Struthio camelus: one gene and its partner. The protein of the gene in region 1 purifies or fractionates together with the protein of each later gene. This does not show direct contact. Links are inferred from orthologs where the notes say so. Each region holds a gene or a part of one and is shown in the gene's direction. Other genes may lie near its edges. The genes, in order: PPM1G and KPNB1.

Region 1 (15,138 bases):
TTCCTCTATCCAGAAAGAGTAATTTAATTACACATTTCTTTTCTTCTCCATATTCTCTATGTGTGTACATGTGTGCACACATGCACAAGCACGCAGATACGATAGTGCAATTCAAGCCAGGCTAGCCAAACAGTTAGCACAAGATGTCTGGGAACGGGATTTTGCAGATACAGAGGACCTGGGAGACAAGTACCAGAGAAATCTGAACAGTGATTTTCCCTGAGCACTGATCCTCAGAAACAAGATCAGGCTACTCATGCTGTGTTTTATGTGGGATGCTTGAAAAGCACTATGCTCCTGTTTGCATTAATCTATTTGTGGCTGGCCATGCCTTTACAGAGCACCCATCTCTACTAGGAATTCCCATGCAGGCTCACTACAGGCAGGACCTGGACTCAGACAGGGAGCAGCCTCTCACCTCTAATGGCCCAGCTGGGAAAGAATTCCCCAGGTCTTCCAGTCCACTAGATTCACCTACCCCTTTACTTACCGTGCATACAGTGAGGACATATGTAAGTGCATCCTGACGCATATCAAATGTTACCTGTACAGCTTTCTACGATACATAATGCTAGTTTTCTCAGTGATGGACTTCACAGACAGGAGATACCATATAATAAGGCCAATATGACTCTCCAATATTTGAGGAACTTTCATTAAACTCAGACTGGCATAACTGTGGCCCGACACTGTATCTGCTGTTAGCTCTTGATGCTATACTTCAACAATTGCCCCACACCAAAGAAGCTGCTGAGATGCCTCAAATCAGAAGGCAAACAACAGTAAAAGGACAGATTTCAACCTGAAAAAAATCAAGTTTGACTTCCTTCCCATATGCAAGCCTGGTTGTAAGATATGATCCCCATGGAACAGGGGCTGCAGAAACCAAGATGTTGCAGTGGTTTCCCCTGGGCCTCAGACCTGTCTGACAATTGGAAGGCTTTGGTGCTGGTAGTAAGCTACATGGAATGTGCTTTTTTAGAACAGCTCTGTAAAGAATGCAAAACAAACTCTATACCTCAGTTACAGACAGCTGAAGTATAGCTAGCGCTTACAACCACCCAGGAAAGCTAGAAAAGAAGTAGGCAGCTGCTCTGGCTGTGCCTGCTCCCCCACTGAGGCACTATAAAGGCTGAGAACTGATGCTGGCTGGTGAGGCACTAAGAAAGCTGCCAGCTGTCTGTTACAGTCAATAAGCAAGAACATAAAGGGTCTGTAGACAACAGGCCCAGAACAAAGGCTCAATTCCTGCTACATCCTGCAGTGCCCTCATCTTATTCAAGCCCATCTCAAGGGTTCACTCCTTCCAGAAAGCCCCCAAATGAGCTAACAAAAACGTTACAAAGGCTGCAACGTACTCCCCCTTTTGAGTACATTCCCAATAGTCAAGTAAAATCATAAGAACTACAGCATGGCATTAACTTTCTACACTAGCTGGAAATACAGGTCCATTGCCAAAGACTGGCAAAACGCTAGCAGCCCTTCTAGCACTAGCTTGCTTTTGCTCTGCTACCCTTCCATTCTCCAGTAGCAGAATCCAAAGCTCAGAGCATCTGAAGTATCACCTTTCCAACAAATACTATCTCATTTTCCCCCACATACAGAAACACAGATGCGTGATAGGAAGAGAAAGCCCAGTGCTTATATTTTACCGCCTCAACAAGTTTCTTTTCAGTCACAAGAGCTGCCAAGAAATTAGACTCAAGCATCAAAGAATCCAAGCACCTAGTTCATTGGTATTTTCTGTCCAAGAATCCTGCACTCTTGTCTGCTTGAAAAAATGTAAATCCAGAGGCAGAAAAAGCATCAACTGGCTCCAGATGAGAAACAATTCAAGAAACTAAGACTCCCACTAGGAGCAAAAAGACAACACAGAAATATAAAATAAAGATGAGGTAGATCCAGTATTTCACTTCATGTCTTGCTGGGTCCAGCTTCTCATAAACCACAGCTTCTTCAGTAACCTTTCACAAAGCCAGCACGGATCAAGGGATACATTAGCTTGATCACTACCCCTCAGCTGTAATGTTCAACCACCTCACCATCAAAGGTCATCAGACTGCCTCGGAACCAGCTACCCAGATGTCAGCAAGGTCTATATTTACCATCTTAAAAAGAGAGAGAGAGGTAAACTAAGGGCAGCGTAGTAAAGACAGAGGTGCTGTCTACATTAACCTTCTGAACTTCCAAGCTACAGGATACAATGAAAAACAGTAAGACTCAAATACTGAGCATGTATATACATACCCCACAGGCACAACCTACACTGCCTCCAATGCAAGTTCTTCACCTGAGCCGATACCTAGGTCCATATGGAACTTTATCACCCTTAGCCTGCACTAAGGCAACTATGTGGACAGGAAAGGGACCTATAAAAGACTGCTCATTTCATCTAGTTTACCTGACAGTAGAAAATACCAGAGAGAGAAAGCCAAAAAAAATATGAACATGGCAACCACTGTATGCACAGATGCACTTATATACAACAAATTTGCCTCCAGGGAGGACACAAAAAAGAACCTGTGGATCTCAGCATTCACTGAAGTGGGGTATCACATGGAAAGTGCTCCAGCTGCTGAGCTTGCAGAAAAACTGATAATACATCAAGCGCAGAACAAAAACTAGATAAGCATGAGGTCAGTTCTTTCTCAGTGGAGGTCACTGATGGCTAGCAAGAGCTCAAACATTACCTCTCGGGCACCCTGAAAATCACCACAGTATTTTAGAATCTGCAGGAGAGAAGCAGTCCCTAAATCTTCAATCTGCACAGGAGGGAGCAAGTCACCTGGGCAAATTTCCAATCAAAGGACCAAACACAAGCAGGACTGCACAAACGATACAAGGTTTTCCTGCTAGTCTTGAGCAGTTTAGCATACATTTGAAGAAAGGGCAAAGGTATTTCAGCAGAGACCAGTACTATTTCTCCCATTCTCTTTCCTCCTTTAAGTGCCAGGCTTCACTCATCCCTGCAGAGTCTTCTGTGTCACGGAATGAAGAAGCATTTGGGGAAAGCTGTACTGCAATAGAACATGCCTCACAAGGAGCCTGCAGAAGGGTAAGTCTAGCATACTGGACTTACTGCACAGTCATTTGCTCTATTAACTATCACAGGCATGCTCACATACATATCTGAAAGGGAAACAGCTTGCTCCCAAGGCTATGTATCCACAATCTGCTACTAGTTAAGAAGTTCATTCAATAGCATTAAACAGGCCATTTATTAAGCGAGTTATGAAGAAATTACCTCATTATACTCATTTCTTGTCATCTCAAAGTTACACAGCATCAAGCCTGCTTGTGAAGCACCCCACAGCTTTTAAACACAACCCCTTAAACACTGAAGGAGAAATTAAAACAGTTTGATTAATCCCTCTGAGCTTCCCAATCAACCACCACAAATTCTTAACCTTAGCAGCCAAGACTGACAAAAGCAGCTTTTCAGACAAACAATTGACCTTTGATGTCAACAAATTATTTAATACAAAGTCTTGGCTTGTGCAATCACATAGTGTTTTCCTATCCACAAAAGGCATAGAAAGAAATCTGGTCAGTAGGTAGCTATTAAGCAGATGACAAGCTATAGGACCATCTAAGTCTGCAAATGGTTGAGTCCTTCCCACTAACATGGGCTCACCAAGCCCCACACAGTAATACTGGGCTGAAAATTCACAAAAAGAAGATTCTGCTGCAGGAGAACATAAGTTTTCCTACAATTATATTTGTGACACTATTCTTTTGGATTTGTGCAGCTCTCGCAGAGAACAGGCATCAAGTCCAAGGCCTAGCAGGCATTTCAGGTTTAATACCTGCCACCGGCACAAGTCTAAAAATGAATTGCAAGTGCGTTACTACAACCCATTTCTATTCCTAGGAGGCGTAGTCTAAACACAGCAGACAAGTTGTCCAAGCATCTTCAAATTAAGAAAAATGTATGCATGCTGACTGAAGGACGAAGGCAGGCACAAGTTTGGAGAGCCAAGGCCTGAAGGGCCTATCAGCCTCAGTCTCTCCCTCCTGTGATTCCGCTAACCTCAAGCTGTAGGTATCTTCGCTACACCTTTCCACCGTGAGATGGGATCCACCCTCTTACAAGTTTATCTTCTGCCCCTTGCAGAGGTTAAAGGGCACACATCACCCTTGCATATGTCAGGGGAGCAATCAGGGGAATTGGTTACAGTTGTGAAGAAGGGTTCAGCTCAGGTATGGAAGCAATACAATTTGCAACACACCAGGAGACCCATGCTTGTGATATATACACCACAGCAAATATTTATTGGTCCCTGCAGTGCCTAAGGATGGGAGAGTTACCTGAAAATGCCAACAGGGGTTACACATTGCAAGAAAGAGGAGAGTGATGCCAAAGTCTTCTCTTGTATAAAATTGTCCAAACAACAGAAAATAAGTACTCTATTGGACAAGCCATGTCCCTCCCCTTCTCCCCCCCCCCATCTCACCTTGGCAGCAACTTCACCCTTAAGGTTTAATCAGAGCATGACCACACCACTATCCATAAAACACGCCATAAAGAGATGAACTTTTGGGAAAGTATAGATGCTTAATCCTTTATCTAGTTACAATAGCATCTTAGTTACAGAACTTCACAAAGCCACTTAATTTTAGAAGAATACCCTGAACCTTCATGGCAATTATACACTTCACGCTACAGATGTTCACTGTCTCTAGGAGAAAACTGCAGTCAATCAACTCAATACAACCCTTGCCTGCATTTGAATTTCAAGCAGACTTGAAGTTATATTAGCTGGCATATTTTACATTGGGCTGCTGTAGCTAAAATATGACTGAGTAACCCACATCCGGCTACATTCTAACTGGACCTTGCAATCCTGCTAACTTGATTGCGCTAATAATTGAAACAATTTCTTCTCTTTTTTCCCCCCCCCCCAAGTTAGCCTATGCTGAATTGCTAACTTTTTCTGGACACAAATCAAGTACACTAAGCTTAATGTGCTAGCTAAAACCAAACGTACCAGAAAACCTGGGCATCAGTTAAGGTTGCTGAACCCCCATGTGATTTAGATCACTGTAACTAAACAAAGACAGAATGAATAAAGGGAGATCTGGGAAGGAGTCCAGGATAGGAGAGGCAGCATTCTAATAACTTATGCTTGACTACTTTGTTAACACAAAGGATCCTTCCCACTGGGACCACACACATCTAACCCTACACCCAGTATGGAGAATAGGCCACCACTAAGAGTTAAAAATCTACCGAAGCAGTTCTCAACCAAAGAATTCTGAAATAAAACCTCTAAGAAGTTGCTAGGTAACAGTGTTGTAGTTTAGGCTCACAAGCAGCCTAAACCTATGAGAGTTTGCGCTAATGATGTAATGCTTTTATCCCACATTTCATTGGCTAGAGGAGGTATCACTCTGGGAAGAGGCTCAAGTCCTTAAGAGTAACAATCATTTGCCTTGTCAGTTTGCCCGAATCAGTTTCCTTGTCTTATGTGCTTTTTCCCAGCTCTTTAGGTAAGACAACCACAGTGGTGCATCATCATTACAAAAATGTATTCCATACATTCACTGCTTTTTAAAATGCTTGCTATTGTGCAAAGAAAGCTTCCTCACAAGATGCAGAGGTGCTCAGGAATCACACTGCAGTTTATTCTACTGGAATCTACTAAAGTTTTAAGGTAAATAACCTGAGCGCTTGCACTTTGCTGTTCTACGTGTGGATCCCAGCGATACCTTTTCCCTCAGATTTATAGGGCTCCTGTCTATACAGCCACTACACCTGTATTCTAGGAAGATCATTACAAAGAGTAATTTCAAAAAAAGAAACAAAAGCAAACAAAAAAACAAAACAAAGCCCCCCACCACACACCAATGCTTAAGGAATTACATATACAAACACACAAAGTGTGCTACCCAAGCTGAGAAGTAAAGAACCTAAACTTTTGAAAACATCAGACTGCATACTGTGCGTACAACCTTAGCTCTTCTCTGTGGGCACACGTGCTGTCTTCTCCCCAGATTATCTCATTACGTTGCTTCAAAGGCATCCAAAGAAGATGTTATAAGAGGATATTATAACTCAGCATCCAAAGAAGATAGTGCTAAGAGGAAGAATCAGGATTGCGCAATGGGGGGGGGGGGGGGAAGGAGGGAAGCAACATTCCTTTTTCGTAGAGTAACACCTCCTCACTGCCAAAGGGGTAGCGAGTGAATAAGAGCTCGTCTATATGGATACACTGACTGGAATAACCAGCGCTGACTGACCTATCACATTAATAGCACTTTATGAAGACACTGCTCTAGTACAAAAGCTACTTTTACTCTGGTGCATTAAGATGCTCAAAAAGTAAAACTGTTACTCCAGAATAAACCTCATGCTGGAACAGCTGAAGTGGAAGACTTTATTCCAGGGTGAAGACTGATCCAAAAGCTGAAGACAGCAAAACATATAAGGTAGGTAATATGGTTAAGGTAACTGAATGCTATTCCACAAGCTCTGGTTTAACCAAACCACAAGTTTACGTGCAAAATTAAGGAACAAGACAGAATTTAACTGCATGATCACTGGAAGGCTACCTAAGAGATATAAGGCCCACATACAAGCAACTATAGCCAATATCAATCCGACCCATAAATGCTCAACATTTCCTGAAGGAAGGCCGTACAACCTGGACAGATGATGTGTTGGGCATTAGAGGACCCAAGTTTACTCCAAGTTAGTCAATAATTTGTTTTGCAACCTTCAAGAGTCATTCTGCTGTCATTTGTCTGTCTGCAAGGTGGAGCAAAGCTCATTCATCTAACCTACAGAGGTGCATTCAAACCAACCAGACCCTCTAGTTCCTAGCTAAAAGACAGCAATTTAGCCATGCCAAAATTTTAGGGAACTTCTTGAGTTTGGGCCCTAATTTGTCTGCATATGAGGGAACCGAAATACAAAGAAAATACTGACGCCTACCAAACTTTACATTTTATCTAGGACAGTACAGAAAAGCCTGGAAGGAAATAAATCTTTCTGTGTCAAAGGGATCTGCAGTAAATAAAACACACTGAAAAAACTATACACACTGAACTTCTGCTTCATTCCCTGAGCCTCTCCGGTGTGCTGATTCAGCACAGATCATAGGAAAAAGCACCTCCTATTCATAGTTTCAGATTATCATAGAGAATATATTCTGAAGGATAGAATTAAAGCTCCATACAGTTACCCTCCTCACCACAATCCAAACTGTAGCTTCACCAGAAAAAGTACATTCTTACTATACCTTGCTACAATTTTGGCTTGTGTCAACAAAAGACAGGTTTCAAGCAAGTAACTGTGGGGAACTGTTGACCTTATTTTGACCTCCTAACTTACACGAGAGAAAATGACTCTTTCACCATCAACAGAGTTTCAGCTACCACATGTCTACGTGGATACGTAAGATGGTCATGAAATTATATGTTAAATCCTGACCTGGCTAAGAAAGAATACGTTAACATTTATGGGGCAGCACTGGAGTTCACATTTTCTGTCTTTCAGCCACTACCACAGCTATACAGCTTGCTCAACCAGAGCAGGTTTCACTGAGCCAACCTGAAGCGCAAACCAGTCCATGGAGACATCCTCCAATAAGATAAACAGCACACAATGAACCGTGTCAAAGAAAGGGCTCCAGAATAAGATCTAATCTGCTTGCATCTTCATATGGGAGAATTCTGATGCACGCACTGAGAAGTAGGTGCAAGGCAAACAACCCAAGAACCAAGTCCGCATAAACAGGCCACGCATTATCTTAACTGAAGACTTCAAAGCAAAGCAAAATCAAGGCATAATTCAAGACCAGACAAGACCGGGCAACTGGAAGCCTCCATATCCGGTACTGTTCCTTTCACGCTCCTGAGCGAACACCAAGAACTGTGAAGGCATTGCTCCAGCTTACTCCCAGAGCAAAAGATCCAACGAAAGGCAGACAGGACGGCTGCAGGTACCCCTTTGCCACGCAGCGGCCACAGCAGGCCCTGACACCACCTGCACAGAGGAGCCCCCAGCGCGATGCGTGCGCGGGGAAGCAAGCGGGCAGCGCTCCAGAGGCCGCAGGCGGCAGGTGAAGGACTCCCCCCGCTGCCCCGGGAGCGCGACGGCCGCTGGCCGCGGCGGCCCGGGGGCGGGAGCAGAGCGGGCAGGGCGCGACGGGACCGCGCTGGCCCCCCCCGCCGCGGCCCGGCTCCGCCGCGCACCGAGGCCCGGTCCAGGCGCTCACCTCCTCGCGCCGCTTCTGCCAGCGGCCGCACGGAGACTCCTCGAGGATCTCGGACTCGTCCTCGCTCTCCTCCTCCTCCTCCTCCTCCGGCGGCGCCGCGGAAGTCACCGGCGGAGACACCGAGGTCATCCCCGGGCCGGACGACGCCGACTCCGGCTTCGAGTCGGAGCCGCCGCTGGGCGCTTGCTTGGACTCGCCCTCCGACATGCTGCGGTCGCGCACCCTGCGGGCGGACGCGGGGCCGTGAGGGGAGGCGAGGCGAGGCGGGGCGGGCCGCGAGGCCGCGCCGGGCCTGTCAGCCGCGGGCCGCGCCTCGGGCCTGCTGGCGGCGCCGAGCCGAGCCGAGCCGGCGGCGCGGGCCGGGCGCCCGGTAGGGGTGGCGGCGGGGGGCGGCGGCGGCGGCGGCGCGCACTCACCGGGCTCACCCGGCGCCTCCCGGTCCCCGAGCGCGTCGCGACTCCGCCGACGGGGCCGCGCCGCCTCCAACCGCCGCGCTGCGTAACGCGCCGGGCGGGACGGGGCGGCGCTCCCGCCGCCCAATGAGAGCGCCGGCGCGCGCCGTCACCCTCCGCGGATTGGCCGGTGGGCGGCGCTCCGGCTATATAAGGGGGCTAGGGGCGCCCGCGCGCGCGCGCGCGCGCAGTCTGTGAGGGGGCTCGGGCGCTCGCCCCCGGCCGCGGGGAGGCGCCGGTCCCGGTCGCGCCCGCCCCGCCACTGGCCGGCGGCGCCCCTTGTCCTCGCGATCCCCCCCTCCCTGAGGAGCCCGGGGCGGGCTGGCACGCCGAGGGGCGCGCCCGGCCCGGGGGAGCCCGCGGGAGGGAGGCGGTGTGGGGGCGGGCCGCGGCCAGGCTCGCTCCTGGCGGGAGGCGAAGTCCCCGGGGGGGAGGGGTAAGGGGGTCGCCGCCCGGCGGGACCACGTTTCTCGCCCGGCCGCGCTATCCCCCCGGCTCGTCTCTATGGCAGGCACTTCCGGCCGCTCTGGTTCGCCCGCGCGGCGGGCTGCGCGCGCGCTCCCCCGAACGCGACTCTCTAGCCCGCGCTTCCGGCCGCGCTACTTCCGCTCGGCGGCTCGCTGGTGGGTGGGTCCGCCGCCGCCGCCGCCGCCGCCTCGCCGCCCGGTGCCGCCCGGTGCCGCCCGCCCCGGTCCGGTCCGGTCCGGTCCGGCCCGGTGGGTGCGGCCCGGCTGCCGCCGCGCCCGCCGCCGCCGCCGCCATGGGCGCCTACCTGTCGCAGCCCAACACGGTGAAGAGCTCGGGCGACGGCGCCGGGCTCGGGCCGCGCCCGCTGCACTTCGGCTTCAGCGCCATGCAGGGCTGGCGCGTCTCCATGGAGGTGAGCGCGGGGCGGGGGCTCCTGCCGCCGCCCGGCCCCGCTCTGCCCGCGCCCCCTCCCCGCCGTGGCCCCGGGCCGGGGATCGCGGCGGGAAAGGAGAGACTCGGGCTGGGCGGGGGGGGGACAGTCTGCTGCCGGGGGCCACCTGGCGCGGCAAGGGGGACGTCCGCGGGCCGGACCTCTGCTTTCCTTTCCGGGGGGAAATGAAGTTTTAGGGTCTTTTTTCCCCCCCCCTCCCTGTTTTTAGTCCTTTCGAGGGAAATTTACTGGGAAAATTCTTATTCCTGCTCTCGCGTGAGACTCCTGTAACCAGGCCTGCCTTTACCCAGCTATCAGCTAGGCTTGTGGGACAAATGAACTGTCACCAGGTAAACATCTGTTAGGCTGAAGAAGTCAGCTGTTTGTCCGAACTCCTCCTGATGGTGGAGTTTGTAGGAATTGCTTTGTAAAGCTGCTCGTGTAAGGCCAAGGTGTATCTGCTTTGGATCGCTTCTCTGCCTCGCCAGCAGTTCCTAGTTCTTTGAATTTAACGCTCTCTGCGACTACTATTAACGTGCTGGCTTATTTTCCCTTCCAGGCAGCTAGCAAACAGCCCAAATTAGATAAGGATGAATAGTGGTCCCTGCAGCCGCCAGGGTACATCTCTGAAAGCAGCCTTCTCGTTTGCAGCCCTTTGGCTACCTTGGAGAGGCCGTCCCGTTCAGAGCACTGGGGATCGATTTTTGCAATTATAGTTTTGTGAGCTGTGCTATCAAATGTTTTATTGCTGCTGAAACATTACAGCAATCTTACTGATAACAGAACAGTGACAATGTTTTTCCTCCTTTCTGCGTGCATTGGAGCTTTATGAAACTGGGCTCTAGTTTCAGAGGCAGAAGAATTGGTGCTTGGGTCTTAGTCTGTCCGTTCTGGTGACCTCTGCACAGGTGAAACGTGACACAGAGGCGTTATTGGAGCACTGAGGTGATGGACGATATAATCTCTGCAAGGCGATTAGCTCGTGTGTAAGAGGCTGAATGCAGGCAGTGTTCTGGGAACCATGGTGCGCGGAGGCTGAAAGCGTTTTAAGGGCACGGTCTTGGATGAGGGAGGGCAGAGAGCTGCCCCTGTTTTAACACTGGTGGGAAGTCAGCTCATAATTTCACTTCTTTGAGGCCTGCTCTTGCTGCCATTGACCTTTATGGAAATTGGATGAGACCCAGAGCTTGCAGCTGTTTTTTCTGCACCAGCCAACATCTTTGGTATATCTCCCTGCTGGTAGAAGCAGCGCTGAGGGCATTGATGTAGACATGATTTAGCTATGTTATCACAAAAGTGAGATGATGGCAGAAGTGCTTATGTTACAGCAAGTTTCTCCTAGGTCCGTGATGAAAGAGAAACAGTTCATTGTTTCGCATACAACCGAGGAGAACGTGATGATTCTGTTGCGTTTTCTTGCCTTCCGGAGTTGTGTGTTTTTCTCTGTATCTTGTCTTGGTTTGTGTGTTTCCTTTTCTTCATGTTTAATTGTACTTTCACCCTTCTGTAAGGATTAGAGAAAGTTCTGAGTAAATATGTATTCTGTTAGTGTACAGTTAAGGCTTGAGTTATGGGTTATGTTAGTGAAGCCAGTCGGAGTGTACACAAGTGGTGGAAGCAGGTACTTGTGGACAGTAGAATTTTGTGTAAAGGAGTTATCTGTTAACTTTAATTTATACTTTAGGAGCACCCAGGCAAATGTATAATAAATATCTGTTCTTAGTCCGGAGAGGTTACTTTGTAGATAAGAAACATTTTAGATAAAATAGCGTTGGATACTACTTATCCTTTTTGGTCTCCAAGTGACTAAGAAGGGAAAAAGCTGAATTACAATAGAGAGAGGAGTGCTCAGGAGTAAAGCGGGATGGACAGGAGGCATTTATGGAGGTAGATGCACTGGGCCTCTGAGTTCTGTGGCTCTGCCTGGAACTCCGAAGAGGACTCCTGTGTACAGCATCATTTCATTCTTCTTGAGCTCACAAAAAGAGTCCTTGCCTCAAAAAAGGCAAGAAGTTTGTTCAAAGTGTCTCCTGCCAATATATGCTGGGCTTGTTTGTCCGCCCTTCTTGACAGCAGTGCCTTGGTCCAGGATCAGGACATATTGTGGTGAGTGCTGTAAAATGAAATAAGAAGACCATTTTTGCTGCTGATGTTAGATTTCCTTCCTAGCAGCATTTGTTTTACTTGCTCTAATTAAACTGCTGCTTAGTCACCTGGGACTTATCCCCGTTACTTTGTTGTGGTTTTGCTGTCTCTCTAGCTTCTGTAAACGCTCTAAAAAGTGACCATACCAGTGTGATTTTTTGTATATCATCTGTGTATCATTTGTATTCATCTGTTGGCCAGTGAACTCTTTGGTTAAATTACCAAAGTCATAAATGGGTCTTTTTTTTTTTTTTTTCTTTTGAACTAAAATCATAATTCGCCCCCTCAGCTTTTGTTTTCATCACAGTGTCAGGTGGTTTCATTGCACTAGGTGCTGTATAAAGCCAGAACCTCTCCTTTTCTGTTTTCGTTAACACTTGATAGAAATCACAGGGGAGTAGAGTTCTCCTTTGTAAGGCACCTTGAAGGGCAAAGAGCTCACAAATCGCATTTAGTTATCAAAAGAGTCCTACAATAAAAGAGTAAAAAAGCTCAACAGATGCTTGGCTGTGCAGTGACCAAGTGTGACTCTGTTGTACACATAGGAGTTTTCTGCTACGGTTGGCAATGTGTCCATCCATACTGTAGAGCCTGCTGCCTTGGAGTAAGCACAGTGTTTTGGGGCACCTGTAGCTCATTTAATTTTCAGGTGAGGAACTTGAACCATGACAAGGAAGGACTATTCTAGATCACATTGTTTAAAATGTCACATGATTGCTTCTGAACAAAGACAAGCGGGGGACAATCAAGCTGTAAGTTGATAGGATGAGACTTGCACTTCAAGGAATGTTAAAAAATTAGTTGAGGGGGGATTAAAAGGCATGTTCAGTCTAGCCATCAGTTCTGAGCTTGGTGCTGGAATAGCCAAGTTTGGTTTGCTGGCCCATAGGATGAAAGAGGTCAGGCACCTGGCTGTAAAACCTGGATGGTGCCTTCAAAATCTCTTGTTCCTGATGAGCTCTTATGGAGAGAAGGGCAGTGTTCTGTATATAGCTTTCATATTATTCATCCTTGTAGTTTGGGAGCATGTGCAGAGAAAGGCTTGGCAGAGTTTCTTATTTATACCCAAAAACATTCTGGGATACACCTATCTGGTTTGCCTCAGGAGATTCTGGGGATTTCTGGACAGTTGGCAGAACCGAAACACCTGACTTGCCTCAGGAAGTGACACCTGGTTTTGTACTTTGATTTAGTTGACTAGTTGATATGTCCCTTGCTTCACTGCTTAAAGGACGCTTGTGAGAGGGCAGGCTCTTTGCCTTTCTCATCAGGGAACTGCCTGAGGCCTAGTGCCTTCCCAGGAGCGTCAAGCAGAGCAGGAAGGAGCCTTTGTCCCAGATGCTCTGAGATGCAGAGCATCTCTGGGAAAAAGTTTTCCAGCCCAGTGTTCGTTCTCACTGAATGTGGTAATCCCATGTACTGTATGGCTGTTTTTCCATTGGGCTGTTGGAGTAGACAATCTGACTGCATTCGCCTGGACAAGCACAAGCAAAGGCTAAGTGTGCTGCTGTATTGTAATCGTAGGCCTGAGGTCAGGAGGCTCTGTATTTGACCTTTTGTCTTCACCAGTGTATCATGAAGTGGCATTCAGGTTGCATGGCTCTTGTTTGGCAAGACCTGGAGAAGAGAGAGCCTGTGTGGGAACGGCCAGGCACCAGAGGTGACCCTGAGCAAGTTACATTGTCTGCATGGGGGAAGTTACCAGTGTATCAACAGCAGGATAACTTGTATTTCTGTGTTTACACTTAGAGAAACCTCAGCCTAGGTACCTATTCATACAGTGGAGCACAGCTCACTGCCTCCTGTGCTTTAAGCACTGTGAGATATTACAGTAATGGAGGCCTTGCAGATACCAGGGGCAGACATCAGTGTAGGAAGAGGGGTTCAATTACGGCTTGTGCTTGGCAATATCCAGAGTTACTGTACTGGAGAAGTGAGGGAGTCTGAAGTACGGTCTGAGAGGTGGTTAGAAGGCTGTGCTACTGCTCTAGCACGGAGCACCATAATGGTAAAGATCTGCCCCTTTTTCAGAGTGCTCACTGGATAAGCTTTTTTAGACCATGGGAGGAGGCTTTCTCGCTCTTCTTGCTTTTCCTCTAGGTCTGAGAATCAGCGCTCATGTCAGCGCTCATCGCCTGCATGCTCCTTTCTCCCAGTTCTCTGCTGGGCCTGGTACAATCAATGTCATTCAGACTTTTGCTCTCTTTTTCAGGATGCGCACAACTGCATACCGGAGCTGGACAGTGAGACAGCCATGTTCTCCGTCTACGACGGACATGGAGGTAACTGCTTCCCTTGTTCTCTGCAGAGTTCTTCACTATTGCTCTTCCAGTCGACTCAATGGAAGTGGCTGCTGTCCTGGCTACTGGAGCAAGCATCTAATTATCCTTAGAAATCCTGCTCCTTCTGGGAAAAGGTTTTCTTTGATAGATATCAGAGTAAGGCTATGAATGTCTCTTAGGGTTTCTAGAAGAAAAGTCATGGTTTCATACAGAATTGCAATGAGACTTGCATTCCACCTTCTAAAAATCTTTTAAGAATGACCATTATTTTCTTGGTAGGTAAGTCAGACAGGATAGTCGCAGAAGAGTGGCCATAAGAAAGACCGAAGTGGAATTAGACTGAAGTGGAATTAGACCAAAGGTCTGACTCTAGTCAGATGTTGTGGTGGTTGGCAGTACTGGTTTCTCAGGGGAAGAGTTAAAAAAAAAAAAAAAAAAAAAATCCATTCCCTGACGTATCTTCCCAACAGCCATTCCCCACTTAAGGGCTCTCTGAGCTAGAGATTTCAGCTATATGATCTTGTAGACAGCTAGAGGTTTTTTTATGCATAAATTTGTGAAACTGCATTTTAAACCAGTTTATATGTTTGGTAGTTATTTGCATAGGCTGTTTTATATATGACAATTATTTTTGTTTGAAAAAAATACTTTAATCAAAATCTGCTGCCTGATAATTTCACTGCAATATTCCCAACACTTCTGTTAGGAGAAATTAGTGAGTAATCACTGTTACCACTTTTCACTTTCATAGTTTTGGACTCTTATGTCCTTTCTTCCAGTCAGAAGATTCTTAAACTTGTGTCTGCTCACACAGCTGTATCTGTAGCAGTAAATTCAATAGCAGCAAAGCTCATTTTCTGGCCCTGAGACCAGTTGGCAGAGTCTGGCCACATCCATGCAATTAAGCTCTCTTAGTATTTGGAATAGTTTGGCTGCATCTAAACTGACTGTTGGTCCCTGGCCCCTACTACATCCTGAACTGTGTCCAGAAATTACTTGAGGGAGTGCTAACTGGCTTGGGGCAAAAGCATGCCTTGGACCAGGCTAGTAATTTTTCACATAGGTGGTAAAATGCCTGGGCCGTGGCACTCATTAGGTTACTCGCGTTGGGCATAGCCGTGGATTCCAGGCATTGTATCGTT
Region 2 (15,580 bases), on another chromosome or scaffold:
TACCCCAGAGGTTGCTTCCTGCTCATGTGTGAACTGAGACAGCGCTTTTATGAAGAAAAATGCATCAAAAGCAATACAAATGAATTGGTGTTAAGCACAGGACACAAATGATTTGTGCAGCCTTGAGATTAAAAGGTTGTATGTATTTTAAAATCATTTTATAAACAACCTAGCGCTGCAGGTTATTGGGGGCTTCGAGGAAGGGCATGGTTGGGGGGACAGTTCACTTTTTACATGTTCTGCAAAACATTTATCCCTAACCATCTTGCAGGGGTCATGCTAGACGTATTAGCCTTGGCTCCATGGATCTTCAGTTCAAGATGCGTCCTGTTTTTCTACCCTATCAGCTTTAGATCATTGAATTTGAGTTTTAAGGAAGCCTCAAACTATTAATTTTTATGCCTTTTCTTACTGTGGGCAATAAAAATAATGAAATAGTTAAAATCTAGTCAGTCTTGATAGGGACTGGAAGCTCATATGAAGCCAATTTGATCCTGGAGCAGCATGGAATGGTCAGGTGCCTTCCCTGTACTTAGCCCCTTGAGACTGAAATGCTGAGGTTTAAATAAGCAAGTCACAAATCACTTCCTCAATTTTGGGAATGCTTATGGTGGGTGGAGGACTGGTGGCATCCTGCCATTGCTGCTGCTGATCCAATCCTCTGGCTAAAAGAGCCAGGTTTGCTCAGAACATATTCAGTCCATTAAAAAAAAGAGTCACATGTGTGAACTCTCCGAAGCAATTTGGAAAAGGCAAGTTTTGTAATAACAAAAATACATTCCTATATATAGTCATTGCTTTGATATTTGCAAGTCTCTTACACGTGGGATAAAATAATATTTAATCTGTCAGGGTAAAAGGCACAAGCTTGCCAGGCTGATGTGGAATTAATTAGCTGGGAATGAAAGCTTCGGAATCCAGTTTACTCTTCAACAATACCCAGATTTCAGACCAAAATTTTATCTAGCTTAAGCGGAATTGCAGCATCTGGAAGGACATGTTATTTGCTTCCCCAAATGCCAGGGTCCTTTTCCAAATGTAATCACGGTAAGAGTATGCTCTTTATTTTAAATTATTGTAAAAGCGAAATGGTGTACAGTGACAAATACGCTTGTGAACTCTTTCTGAAAAAAACAACCAAACAAAAAAGTCTGAAACCTTACCTCCCAAATCCTGTTCTAACATGTACCTACTTGTGTTTCGACAGGGTCACGCATGAGGTGCAGTGAAGTCTCAGTGTTTTCTACTATTGACTGTCCCTGCAATTAGCCATTATGCTACTGCACGTGAAATACTTTATACTCACGTTCTGCTCCATTTAAGAATTATCTTAGCCCTTGCAAAATACCTGTGCAAGTGAAATTGCTCTGTGGAAGACATGACAGCAAATGACTGCTGGCCACCAGGATCAGAACAAGGCTAATGGCAGCCACACAGAAACTGGATTGATACTAACTTAAGTGAAACGCTTCTATTGCTGAGAGAGCCGGGTGAGCGAAGGAGGATTTGTGCCCCTTGTCCATCAATGACCATGTCAAGACGAGCATCGTTTTACCCCAGTGAAGGAAGGACCAAGCCGTTCAACTGATGGAAAATCAGGCTGAGCAGTGGCAGGCATCACTCCAGCGCTGGCTCAAAGTGAACTCCATTCAGGCTGTTTCAGACTTTCTTTTCATTAAAGGAGAGCTCAATTTGCTGTGCTAAAATCATGATATAAGATTTGGTCAAAGTTAAACATAGTTATTTTCAATTCAAGTGAAAACACGTGGGAAAATATATGCATGTGGCAAAACTTAAAGCTAAAGAGGATAATGTGCCGTGTTCCACGATACTGTTTCATTACATTAACCTTTCTTCTACAGGGACCCAAACCAGGAAAGAAAACTGAGGTAATGTGAAGTCTGAATATAACCGAAGCAGTTGGAAAGCATCCCTCTAAGCAAGGAAGACCAGGTGAGTGTCTCTGCTCAACCTCGTTTAATCTAGTCACCTGTGCTGGCTGCCAAAAAGCGGGTTTCATCAACTGATTGTTAGGAAAACGCATCTTCTCTGTGCAGCATGTAAGACCTCCTTTGGGCTGCTACACGAAGGTAAGTGAGACGGAGCACGGAGAAATCTACCACATTGCTGCCGTTTAGCGTTAGGGAGATGTTTAGTGTTAAGCAGCCTTTGACATTTAGTTTCCTACAGAGAGAGAACCGAGTGTGGTGGATATATTGTCCTTCCAGTGCATGTACAAGTTTGTGTAAATAAATAATCTTATTCTGTATTCCTATTAAATGATTGAGCTAATATAGCACTGGACTGACCATAAAGGCTTGTCCTTGCTTGAAAGCTGATGTGGATTCAGACTGGGTATGAACTGAAAATGCTGCAGCTGTCCTGAAAAACTGCATGTAGACATGCCTCCTGCGTAAGGATCGTGTGCTGCAGGAGGTAGTGCGAGGCTGGGTGGTGGGTGCCATCGCTGCTCTGATTTCACGCGCCCTTCCTGCACAGGGCATTGCTGTTGGAGGAGCAGTTTGTCTTAAACGGAACAGAAGAGTGAGCTCGGGCTTGCCTGTGACTGTCAATGTTTCTCCAGGGTTTTCTTTACCGTTGGATTAAAGCATGTGTTCTCGACTTTTCCAGTGTGGGGAAGTTGCACTTACCTTTGCTTTTTCAATGAGATAGGAAGCGTAAGACATTTCCTGTGTGCTGACCCTCTGCATTGTTGAACGTTTTGTATTTCCAGCTTTATTAACGTTTTTGATAAAGACAACAAATGTTTGTTGCATCTTTTTTCAGCAGTGAAATCTAGTTTAGACACAGCTCCTGGTGTGTTAACTTCTTAAACCTGGTATCATCCGACTGTTTGATTTGCATTAGTGCCTAAGAAACTGTTGAACTCCACGCTCTGCATACTGTACACATACAAAAACAGAGATGGTTCCTGTTCCTTGGAATTCATCTCTTTGTAGGATTTTCTGAGAAACTTGGAAGTATTGAGCAGCTTAATCTTTTTAAGCTGTCATCTTTTGAATTTCAAAGGTGGGAAGGGAAGCAGAGAAGTGACTTTCTGTTCTTTTGATTTTGAGTTACCATGAGAACCTGGCTCTTCTGATGGGTGCTAGCACCTAGTCTGGAAGGCTGCTCTCATTCCGGAAGCACTCCAATAGATCATTTACACTCATAATCCATTTATGAAATGTTCCCCTTTTTACAAATAGGGGAAACTAAGGCACAGAGTTTAAGTGATTTTGTTCATGGTGACAGCAGCAAGATCAACGAGGAATCCTGAAAGCCATTTACTGCTCTCGCTGCTGAAACGCACAGCCAGCCGTCTGGACTCGAGAAGAAAACGTGGTCACCTAGTTCTCGTTCTAATCACTTCACTTGCTGAAATAACCCCAAGTACCCTAACTGTTTCTAGAGTTGTTCCAAAGGTCAGCAGCTTTTCAGCATTTCTCTCCCAGTTTCTGCAGTCAGTTTATGAAAGCAGGAGATGATATAAGCCTCTGTACTGTGAATGCTGAGGATGCCATTTATGGCAATGAAGAGCAAAACGGTGCATCTATCTCAAGTTTAAAGCTCCAGCCTGAGCTGTACCAAGGGGAGCTGACTCTGCAGTCTCACTTATCCTTATTTTACACTGGGTTTCTGGGCTTGCATTGCTCGTGAGGCCAGATTTGTACAAAACTCCTTAACGCTTTTCTCTCTCCTTGGCTTTCCTACAGGAACGGTCTCCTAGGGGAAGTCGTCCTGGTCAGCAAGACAGAAGGGCAGGCACACGCACAGGGCAGCGTGCAACAGCTGCGTGAAACCGCGCTTGCAGAAGCACCGTGCGCTTTCAGGTGTGTCCTGGGGCCCCGGCGCCGAGTCAGGGAGGGGAAGAGGGAAGCAGTTTGGGGCAGGACAATGTTCAGCTAAACGCAGAAGCAAACCGCAGCTGCGTGTCAGGCTCCTCAGTTCCTGCCCCATCCCTCCTCCCTGCTGGGGAGTAGCTGCAAGAGAGTGCGTTTCAGCTGACTTCAACCCAAACGCTGCTTGGTGAGTTTGACTTTGAACTGCTCAAAAAGGCATACTACAGCGTGGTGAAGGAAGGTTGAACGCGAGGTGAGCTCCATTCCTTCAGGCTGAATAACATGTCAGTTCTGTTTTATGAGTCAAGCTGCAAATAGTAATTGGTCTTAAACCAGTCAGTGATGTGAACTGTTGACAAGTCTGCCCACCCAGGCTCCTCCGCAGGTGCGGGTTTGGCAGAGAGAGGAACCCCCTCTCCTCCTCCTGCTAGCAACACACGCTGTGGACACACTGGCCGCGTCTCTGCGTCCTGTTCTCCCTCGCTGTCTTATCGGGGTGATCTCAAAGCATTCCGGTCACGAGTTAACGCAGTCCCTATCCACCTTCTCGAGGTTAGCGTCAACTTAGTCTTTCCAGCTGGAGCGGCCGAGACAGACGCAGGCAAGACACTGTGACCAAGAACATGCAACAAGACGATGGCAGCAGGGCAAACGGAATTAAAGTCCTTGATGTCCAGATGTTTTTCAGCCCTTCTTTTCTTGCTTGTAACCGTATTAAACCTGCTAGCCACTTACACTAAGTACATCTCATCAGTAGGTATCAAAGCACTTTACAAAGGAAGCTGATAAGGATTTGTCCCCATTTTAAAATGTGAAACTCAAGGCAGAGGTAGACAAAATGACTTTTTCAAGCTTCTCCAGCAGGCCACTGGCAAAGGTAGGGACAGTATCTAGGTCTCCTGAGCTCCAGAGTCCTGGTCTGTCCCTGTAACCCGACTTTCTTTGGAGGAATGATGAATACTTTTCAAAATGCACACCCAAGGGTATGAGTCCACTTCCTCAGCAACAGGGCAAGTGACTGAGACCACTGCTCAGAGGTCGGCACTTGCTTTGCCCTGCAACATAAGAGCTGTCTTCCCCTTTCCTTTGGCAACAGCTTGTGAAGGGAAAAAACAGTAGTAGTATAGGGCAGAAAGGCCTGGAGACATCGAGGATGAGCCAGACTGCTTTTCCCCATCTTCCTGACCTCTTGTGGTTGTCATCCTGGCCTCTGGAAGCGGCTCCAGCTCTGCACATCCTGCATTTGAGAAGGTCACGGAGCAAACGAAGCCTAGAAAGTGGTGGTGTGTTCACGAGCAACGTACCTTCCTTGCAACTGGCCAATAAATGCAATTGTTTGTGGCTCCAATGACGCTCTGCCTTTAGCTGGCTGCAGGCAGCCGGCTCTAGGACTGTGGCTCGGCATGTATACTGTGAGATGGATACGCTGGGTTGGCGCTGGTTCCTCACCTGTCCCATATTGCAGTGTAACCTGCAGGGCCAAGTGGTCTGTTACATGGCATTTACGATGTTTGAGCAGAGATGTGCACAGTTCTGGGTGCTGGAGCCCGAGGTTGGGAACTGCCGCTGTAAAGGATTTCTCGTGACTGATACCTGCGCGCAGCGCAGAGCACCCTCGGATTACAGCCCTCCCGCAGGACACCTTGCTGGACTTCTGCTCCAAGACGGTTCAGACACTCTCACAAAGGCCTGTGAATCCCCTCATCCCAATGGGTGACCAGGAAACCCAACCTGAGCAAAAGGAGGCTGCAATTCAACAGAAGCTGTATTTCTTCTCAGGAGGAGCTACGAGATGCTGTTGCCCTCCCCTGGGCTCAGAGGCCAAGGCTCTTGTTTTTTTCTCTCCTTTTTCTCTGTTCTTCATTCTTGCCATCTAACAAGGTAAAACATCTAGCAGAGCTCTGCCTGTCTCGAGGCCTGAGCAAGGCACCAGAGACCCAGACTCCCGGGTTCCACCATTCGTGCGCTGTGGGAATATGGTGTATTTAGCTTCCTTACTTGCAAAATAAGTACAGCAAGGAGTGCTGGGAGAGGCTTCAGGGTTTGAGGAATTACTCGGTTAGAGCCTGTGCAGCATTTCCCAAATACCCGTATTCCTTTCATCTAGGACCTGTATCTTGGCAGAATCCCTTCTACCAATTTTGCCACCGAGCAGCTGGGTTCCACATGGTTTGTGGTGTAGGAATGGGACTATCAGTTAAAAACAGTCAGTTGTTTGGATGATGTTAACTATTGCCAGCTCCTTGCAACTCAGAGTTTTCCCCTGCTATGGTCAACCAAACTCTCTCTCCCTCATTTATGCGCTCAGAGATGGCTGCACTTGAGCAGTTACCGTACCTGCAGCGCATCCCGTTCCCAGGAAAGCAAAATACTGCAAGTACAAAGCACGGTTAATCCAAGAAGTAGGAACACCGTGAAGAAGGGAGTCTAACGTACATCTGCGTCGAGCGCTGAGCGTTCCTCTGGCATGAGGAGCAGGGCTCTTCCGATTCCTCCCTGCCTACAGGAAGAGTCAGGTTGACTGTAACTAGGTAATTGTCCCTTCTCTCGTTGGCCTTTGTATTTAATCCCACAATAGAGCCTGATTGTGTTACTAATTGCTCTCTCCCGGTGCGCAAGCCACAAGAGACCTGCGAGTCGCAGAGCCCGCCTTTACCTGGGTTTAATTATTCAGCTGCACCTTTGTTCTGCTCCTCTCCTTTTTTTCCAGGCATTCCTCTGTTAAATCCTGCATCTTGTGGAGTTTGAGCTAGGCCTCATGCGTGCTCAGAAGCTGGTGCGGCCATCTCCCTGCCTTGGGGCAGTCCAGCGCCTGGGCTGGACAGGGGCGTGCAGGCGAGCGCGCTGGTGTAGCAGCGCCTCTCCGGGAGGGAGGAAGAACGAGGGGCCTTTAGGTCATTTTTGGTGGTGTTATCACTGCACCCACGCAAGGGATCGCGTAGTCCTTTCCATGGGGGGGGGGGGGAGAGGAATAGTTGCATAAACACAAAACCGTGCAGCCCGGGTGTCACTTGTAGTATCGTTGCTTGTAGGAGCGGCGGTTACAGCCTGGGTTGGGGCCTCTGCTGTAAAGAGCATGCACCCCTGGAGCATACAATAAAGATCTACCTGAACCTCCACCATACCTTGATTATCCTAAACTGTGCCACCGCTGACAACTCCGTCCAAGCTGAAAGCATCTCCCGCGACCTCCCAGAAATCTCCCAGGCTTCACGTCCTGTGCTGCAACCCCCGGTTCTTCAGGGCTGCGGGGAATTGCGCCTTGGGGAAACGGCCCCGTTTCCGCCAGCTGATGCAACTGCGCCTCCCCTCAACGCTCCTTAAAACTCGAGGCACCTTGGTGGAGAAAGCGCGCCTTGGGCCAGGCTGCATCGTGCATGGAAAACACAGCGTGCACGGAGGCTGCATCGGGCATGGAAAACACAGCGTGCACGGAGGCTGCATCGGGCATGGAAAACACAGCGTGCACGGAGGCTGCATCGTGCAGCGAGCACGCATCCCTTACTTGTAGCTTTTAGGTTAATACTAGGTTAAGGTTAATACCAGGTTAGGATCCCCAGCGGGCGGCTCCTCCGCCCGGACCTCCAGGGCCCGGGCAGCGCCGGCGGCGGCGGGACCCCACGGCGAGCGGGGGCGCGCGCGCGCGCGCTGCCGGGCCCGGCCCGGCCCCACGTGGCCGCCCGCGCCGGCCCCTCCCCCGGCCCCGCCGCGGGGGCGCCCTTTCCCCGCGTTGCCCAATCAGCGCGCGCGGCGCCGGAACCCTTTTCCCGCCCCTCCCTTCCTCTCCCTTCCAGACCAATGGCCGCACCCCTACCGGCCCGCCGCGCCGCCGGCCAATGGGAGCGCGAGCCGCCGGCCGCCGCCGGCCAATGAGCGCGGCGGCGCGGGGCGGCGGGCCGCGGGCCGTATCCCTCCGCCGCTCGGTGTGCGCGCGCGCGCCCGCCCCGCTCGCGCGGCCCTTTTCTCCCTCCGCCGCTGCCACAGCCGCCCGCCGCAGCAGCCGGAGCAGCCGCCGCCGCCGCCGCCGCCCCGCGAGGTCTTCCGCGAGCGGGACCTCCCCCCTCCCCACCCCACCCCGTTCCCTCTGCCGTTTCTCACGGGGGAGGCTCCTTTCCCCCTCCCCCCCTTTCCCTTCACTCCCCTCCCCCCCTTCCCGGCTCGTTCCGCTCCCCGCACGCCGGTGCCGGAGCCGCCACGCCGCCGCCATGGAGCTCATCACCATCCTGGAGAAGACGGTCTCGCCGGGTAGGGCGCGGGCCGGGCCGAGGCCTGAGGCGGCCGTTAGGCCCGGAGAGGCCGGGCGGGGCGGAGGCCGCTGCCGGCGGCGGTGGCGGGGGGGGGGGGAGGGGGAGGCCGCGCAGCAGCCCCGCGGGCTGCGGCCGGCTGAGGTGAGGCGGCGGCAGCCGCTTGGCTGAGGGGAGCTGGGTTGGGCGGCGGCGAGCGGGGCCGCGGGAAGGGGGCTGGGAGCGCGGCGGGAGCCCGGGGCCCTCAGGAGCCGGGGCCCGGCGGGAGGCGCCCCCGGGACCTGACTGACGCCGGCTTCCCCCTGCCGTCTCTCCTCGCTTCCCCGGCAGACCGCTCCGAGCTAGAGGCGGCGCAGAAGTTCCTGGAGCAGGCGGCCATCGAGAACCTGGTGAGAACCGGGGAGGGCGGCGGCGGCGGCACCGGGCGACACCGAGCGGGCGGGGGGGGGGGGGGGGGCGCGCTCCCCTCCCCCACCGCCCCGCCCGGCCAGGCCGAACCGCCATAAAAGGCGCAACCTACCTCGCCCGCGTCCAGCCGGGGCGGCGGCTGGCCAATCGCGGCTCGCCCGCCGCCTCCGCCGACCAATGGCGACGCGGCGCCGGCAGAAGGGGGGAGGGGCCGCGCTAGGCTGCGCCGCGCTGCGTGTCCGCGCCGCGCAGCGCCGCGCCGGCTGCGGTGGGAGCGGCCCGCGGGGCCATGTGCGGCCCCGCCGCCTCCCCGCGCCCCGCCGCGGCCCCGGCCCCTTGCCAGGGTGTTTATATCTCTCCTCCAGCCCCTACCCCTCCACTTTCCCTTTCCCCCCCCCCAACCTTTTTTTTTTTTTAATTTATTTTTTATTTTTTTGCTGAGCTCCTCTCCTGGCCCACTTCCCGTCTTTCTCCGCCCCGTTCCGAGCCCATCCTCGAGGCCTTTCCCCGCACGCGTGCCGGGGAGGCGGCTGGGGAGGGCGATGACACGGTCGGGATCCTGGTGGGGGAGTCACTGTGCTGGGTGGGGTCAGGAGAGGTTAAGATTGATTAATTTACCTGGAATGAATGGGGAGGGGGGGAACTCTGTTTTCGAGAGGAAAAGCTTTATCGCACCAAAAAACGTGCTTATGAAAGTTCTCATCGCCCTATTCCTTTCCAAAAAAACCCAGCTTTTTTATATATGTCCTAAAATTGAGGATGGTGTAGAGAAGTTTAACTCTCCATCGAAGGAATATGATTTTTTGCTTAGTCAAGGTGTATTATTGCAACTGTTTCAAGGCTCTTACAGGAGAGGGCTTGCGATGCTAATTTGCTGTCCTTGAAGGAATCCTAGCTCATTTTAACAGAGGTGTGTTATTCATGTCACTTCAGTATTCTAGTTGTCACTCACTGGTTGTTACGGTTACTAGCAAAATTTATTCTTCCTTTTTAAACGGTCATATGTGCATTTGTCTCCACTTGTCTAAACCACAAAAGTAGTGTGGTCTTTGTTGTTGTTACATTTTAAGCAGTGTGAAGCGTCCCTGAGAATCATAATTGACATAGTTTTTACACAGAAATGTCCGTTTTGATTCTAATTTTGTGAATGGCTGCTTGTTAAATCTTAGGATCCCCTAAAAATCTTATAACCTCAGGGTTAGGTTGACGTTCCTGCGCAGTGTTATATGAAGCATTTTGGATTGACGTCCTTGGGCAGCTCGTGATTTTATGCATTTCAGGCTTTTGAAAGAGCTGGGGGATGAGCCAGTTTCTCAAGGTTTCATTTATACCTGCTTTCTTGGCTCAGAGCGCAAAAGCGAGGTCAAGGCAGCAAGCAGAGGAAGCAGAATTTGTGCTGGTGCGTGAGGGATGAAGTTTGTGCCCTGGTTTGGGAAGGGGTGTGGGTTGGTGCAGGTTCCCAACGGATGGGGGCCGAGGAGTCCCATCTCAACCGCGAGAGTGATGAGTGCAGTGAGGAAGCTTGGGTTTGTCGGAAGAAGCATAAAAGGTAGCGTAGGAGAGGAAGGATGCAGGGTTCTGGGTTGTTCGTAAGTGGTATGTGATTGGGAAGAACTCTAGCTGGGCCTGGAGGAACAGGAAGGAAGTAGGGAAGAGGTAGGAGGTAAGGGATTGGGTTAGAGGCTCTGTGCTGGGGGCTACTGGTAGTGGCAGCCAAGCAAACAAAGTCTGAAATGAACTCCCAGCTGGTTAATGGAGACTTATCCAAATATGCTTATTCTTTCTTTTCCCCTCCTGTATTTAATTTAGACCCTTTTCTGAAATTTTTCATTGGCGTTTTTGTAAGTGTGGAAGTCATATGCATCTGCATTTGGTTTGGATCTTAATGTAATGCTTCTAACTTTTAGCAGGAATTATATCAAAGTTCCTTAAAAAGACTTTTTTTTTTTTTTTTTGTTAACTGATGAGAGAGATCTCCAAGGGCATTTCCTCAAATTTGGAATTCTAGTCAGGTTTCCTTCTCAAAGGTGGCAGCAACACTTTTGTTTTGCCCTGTGAACTTTTCTGAACGGTTTCCCATTTCTGGCACAGTAGAACTCAATGTCTCAAGTGTGAACATTCTTGATGGATGAGAAGTGTTTTCTTTTATTATGGTGTATTTGTACATTTTTTTTTTATGTAGAGCATTAAAATGTCAGGATATTTCTGACTGGACAACTGGATGACTGTTTTGTTTCCAAATTCTGCATTTTGACTTTTATCTACTAGATAGCCTAATTAAGATTTTTCAAGAGGCAAACTTGATCACTGAAAATGTAAAGTCCAGGATACTGGGCATGCTCTTTGTTTCTATTGAACTTTTAAAAGTTAAGCTAGTTTAAAAAAATAACTATTTTTTTGGTGCCCTAAAATCTTTGTATGTATCCTAAGTTCTGTTATACAGACTTTTAAAAATTGGTTAGATGCAACTATATATTAAATGGAACGTTTTCTGGAAAGCTGCATTCTTCCTTGTCTATTTGGTATAAAATGGTTTTGAAAATAGTGCTGTTTTTGCTATTTACCTGAAGGTTGTTTACCTTTTAAATAGGCAAAATGCTTCATCTGGCCAGTTAAATGAAAATGTTCTGCTGTTGAAACTTTAGCTGTATCTTGTATGCAGCAGAAGTCTATAAAATGTAAAGCTACTGAATTGCAAAATCAAATTTAAATGCAGATGTGCTTCTCACTAGATGCCACCAAAAACAAGTGGTACAGACGTCAAGTATTTTTATCTATGCGTACACTTTTTGGTGAGGATAATCTTCACTTGTGTATATGTATCTTTGATTGCAGGGAAGTATATAGTAAGCTTACTCGTACAAATCTATTTAATGCACCAACACAGCAGCTGTTTTCACATTTTAAAAATTCCTGTGTTAGGTTATAGTTTGGGTGTTTGCCTTGAAGCAAGAAAATCAGTAGAGGGTTATTCTTTACCATGTTTGATATCCATCCAGAAAATACATAACTTTGCATAAAACCTGAGTAGTTTATTTAAAGGAGTACTTAAAGTAGACAGGAGCATCAAAGGTAACAGTCTCTCAAGTAAGCTGAAAACATCCAACAAAGTCGATGTCTATTTACGTTGCTTACCAGCAGTTCTAATTAGGAGCTTAGCGTATATAATCTTGGGATAGAAACACAGTCACTGTACAGTAGCAGAGGTTTGCTGTTGGCCTGATACTGAAGAAACTTTAATGAGCGTAGTCGCGTTCTGCTGGATAAACGCGTGTTGTTCCTCATTAGTCAGGACAAATTAACGGCTCACATTGCTGCAGGAGGAAGGAGGGAAATGTTTCCATTGACGAGCAGCTTTCTCCTCTGCCCTCCAGCCTACCTTCCTTGTGGAACTGTCCAGAGTGCTGGCAAACCCAGGAAACAGCCAAGTTGCTCGAGTCGCGGCTGGCTTACAGATCAAGAACTCCTTAACATCCAAGGACCCGGATATCAAGGCCCAGTACCAACAGAGATGGCTTGCAATCGATGCCAATGCCCGCAGAGAAGTCAAGAATTATGTAAGTTTTGGGGTTTTTTTCATTTTTGCCTGTTCGTTTTCCTTCGAGGATCATGAGTAATGCATTCTTATCCCTCCTTTTCCACCTGAAAAGTCTTCCATTTGGTGGCTTCTACTTTTCATGAAACAATGTCGTCTGTGCGTGCTTTGACGTTTTGTTGCTTACATCATATTTAATCTACAGAAGTGTTAGGGTAAAAAGACAAGCAAATATGTGGCTACTGCTTTTACATTGAGGCATATAAATACTTTTACAAAGCAGTTTTTAAGTAGTCCCCTGTGATTCTGGAGTTCATGGGAATGGCTTCCTAACTAGGCGATTTCAACTGAATTGATGTTTGCTTTTTATTCTTGAGCAGCTTCCTCAACTGTCTCACAGTCTGTCATTAATGTCTTTGAGACGTGTCGTGTGTGTGAACGTGCACGTTTGCACAAGCCATAGAAAATCTTAAAGAATTAGTAGAGCGTAGTCATGCATATGCAAGTTCCAGATGTGAAATGGTATTTTTAAATTTTGTACAGGTGTGGAATTTCCCAAGGACTGTTGTGTTCTTTTATAATTCCAGTACAGGACTTGCAATGACAAAACTATAGTGGCTGAGTTTTTCTGACTTGCAAGAACAAAGGTGTACTTGGATGTACACGGTGTTATGTAATTAATGCAAGTTGGCTGTAAGCTTTTATGTAAGGTTTTTGTCTTAACAGATGTCTTTGAATCTGTGTATAGTAGAGTATGGTTGGGCGGTTCATTATGGTACAACTTTAGTCTTTTATTTACATTGGCTAAGACTGAACTAGGTAAGGGGAAACAGCTTATATTGTAAATGGGAGTTGTGATGGGGTTGTATATTAAAAGCTAACAAAGCCAGATTACTGCTGTCCTTCTGTCCAACTAAAGCAAAGTCCTTTGTGTCTTATTAAGCTGATAAGTTGGATGCTTTCACTTAATTCCTGCTGATTGGCTTTTTCTTAACTTTGACAATTGTCACTATTTCCATTATTCTGTTGAGAAGCTGAGTGATCTATTAGCCCACGCTGATTAGAGGGTAAACGTGAAGAGGGTTGGTGGGGTCTCAGTTCACTCGGTTCACTCCTGATCATGAAGCCACTGAAGTATTTGGTGCTGACTGCTACTCTGAATACCAGCAGAAGAGCCACGAAGCCTATCCCCTCTTGCCCGTCTCAGGAGGCAGGCTGTGCAAGGGTGGGAAGAGAGCGGTATCTAGTTTGGGAGAGGCTAAGTGAGTTGTAAGTACTGTATTTGCTGAGGGGATATCTAGACAAGTAAGATGTATAACTGAAAATTCTGAAGTGTGCCCCCCTCCTCCTCAAGAAAGTTATTGAAGTATACAAAAAATTGTTCTTCTGATTGGAATTAAAATAAATATAAGGAAAAAAACCTCTTCAATCCTGTTCAGATTATCTTGGCATAAACAATCTAGAACTATTTTGGATTGTAAACCACCATTTGTTTAGCTTTTGTAACTTTGCTTTATAATACAAGTAGGAAAGAACTGTTCAGTGAGTCATCAATGTGCATTATTATAGTATAAAGCATTATGTATGGAATTTAAAGGATGTGGTAGAAATATGTGTAATCACACAACTGTATCTCACTTCCTGAAATGGATAACCATGGTTAAGTTCATTTCAAACATTATTTGCCTGTGGTCAAATGCTTGCAGAGGGAGAAAGCAGTACAAACCAACTGCTTTACTGGCCAAAGGGGTACATTTGCAATAAGTTTATCAAGTGAAAATCTAGGTGGCAGGCCAGTGTCCATCTGTCTCTGGTTGCTCACATCAAATAATCATGTACAAATCTCTTGTCGCAGGTTTTGCAGACGTTGGGCACAGAAACGTACAGGCCCAGCTCAGCCTCTCAGTGTGTGGCTGGTATTGCGTGTGCAGAGATTCCCATGAACCAGTGGCCTGAACTCATTCCTCAATTGGTAGCTAATGTTACAAATCAACATAGCACTGAGCACATGAAAGAGTCGACACTAGAGGCCATTGGATACATCTGTCAGGATATTGTAAGTAGCTCTTTTTTTTTTTTTTTTTTTTTTCCCCCTAAGTATGCTGTACTGGCATAACCTCTTCCCAGCACCTTTTCTTTTCCAGACTTTCACTTGTTACACCTCTATATCTAATAGACTCTCTGTAGTTGTCTTCTAAAACTTGTCCTGAGGGTGTATCGGTGCAAACAGAACAGCATGATGTATTAGTAAACATGCAAGAATGATATCTGAAAGAACTGACCTGCTTTTGCAACACAAATCCAGGTCATTTTTCATAAAGTTTAGGCTGAAGTCTATATACCCCTCTGGTCACGTGGTGGTGAGGGGTGCTGTTATAAAACTTTAACTGTCAGTTGTGTAAAACTGTAAAATGGTTAAAGATAGCTGACAAGTGTTTACTTCACTTGTGTGTTGGAGAAACTTGACAGTTACCCTCATTTTGCATGAGGGGGTCTCTTTATCCTTAATTTAGGAACTTTTGATACGTGGACAAGAATATTCTACTGTGTGAGGCACCTTCTATAGAAGTTCTCGTGGTTTTATTGCTGTAGTTTGTCACATCATGATGTGCTGCATCAAGTAGCTGATCCGAACTGCTCCCAAAACCCTGTGTGTTGTCTGAGTTGCACTGAAAAACAAAAATAGATTGCTGCTTTTTTGGTGTTACTTAACGTCTTGGAACGTGCATGTTTCGTATTGCTTGTTGAACAGCAGTATAGCGAGTTAGAAAGGTAAATCTTCTCTTTGGTGCTTCTTATCTGGCTACAGGAGGTTTCTCTCACTTCTTGGTCTGTTCACATACGTGTTTGATTGTAAGCATATTCCACTACCTCTTCTGTGCCTACAGCTGTTCAAAAGAGTAGGGTGCTCTGGGGGTTGTCCCTTTTGCAGGAATAAGGATGGAGTATTGCAATCAGCTTGGGAATCTTCCATTGTAGATGGAGAGATCTGAAGAATGTAATGTCTGCAGAAGGGACCCTTCTTGAAGAAGAAAGGGAAAAGTCAGTGAGGGAAACCCCATAGGATAAAATGAGGAGCAATAACAGATGCATCGATGAGGACAGGTAGTGAAAGAAACAGAATAAGGCATAAGAAAAGACCAGTGCAAATCAGATTTTTGGAAAACACCTGAAAAGATGCATGCTTCTCAATGCACTGATTGTCTGAACAGCTCCTGGCACTGACCAATGCAAAAGTTAAAAATGAAAATGCAGCAAAAGTGCTGGGAAAATAGGCTTGGGTGGGGGTAAATTACTTTATGGAGATTAAATGGTATGAAACAGAGGAAAAGTACAATTGTAAAGGAGAGGGAATCTAGGTCAAGCATTATTTGTTACAAGTTCATCCAAGACTTAAGTGCAAGTTACTTATTTGCTTGGAAGATATGTATGGTTAGTTTTTTTTTTTTTTTTTTTTTTTTGATTTTTGGATACCCTGGTTGCTGAATGGGTATTTTGTAACCAAGATTCCTCTTAATATTTGTAGTTTGTGTCAGTTGCATTGTAACAGT

What was found.
Region 2: the proteins of PPM1G (region 1) and KPNB1 purify together in Homo sapiens (affinity purification with mass spectrometry; 3 studies listed by BioGRID and IntAct, with this or other methods). This does not show direct contact. The link is inferred for Struthio camelus from reciprocal best matches to the Homo sapiens genes PPM1G and KPNB1.

What each region holds. Positions count from the first base shown.
Region 1 is NC_090944.1:635,700-650,837, forward strand, and holds the start of PPM1G (protein phosphatase 1G), read left to right. Parts: upstream 1-9,246; 5' UTR 9,247-9,431; coding exon 9,432-9,551; intron 9,552-13,926; coding exon 13,927-13,996; intron 13,997-15,138. Other genes in the region: NRBP1 (nuclear receptor-binding protein), read right to left, coding at 8,220-8,426.
Region 2 is NC_090966.1:5,910,981-5,926,560, reverse strand, and holds the start of KPNB1 (importin subunit beta-1), read left to right. Parts: upstream 1-7,711; coding exon 7,712-8,087; intron 8,088-8,416; coding exon 8,417-8,475; intron 8,476-11,868; coding exon 11,869-12,051; intron 12,052-13,884; coding exon 13,885-14,085; intron 14,086-15,580.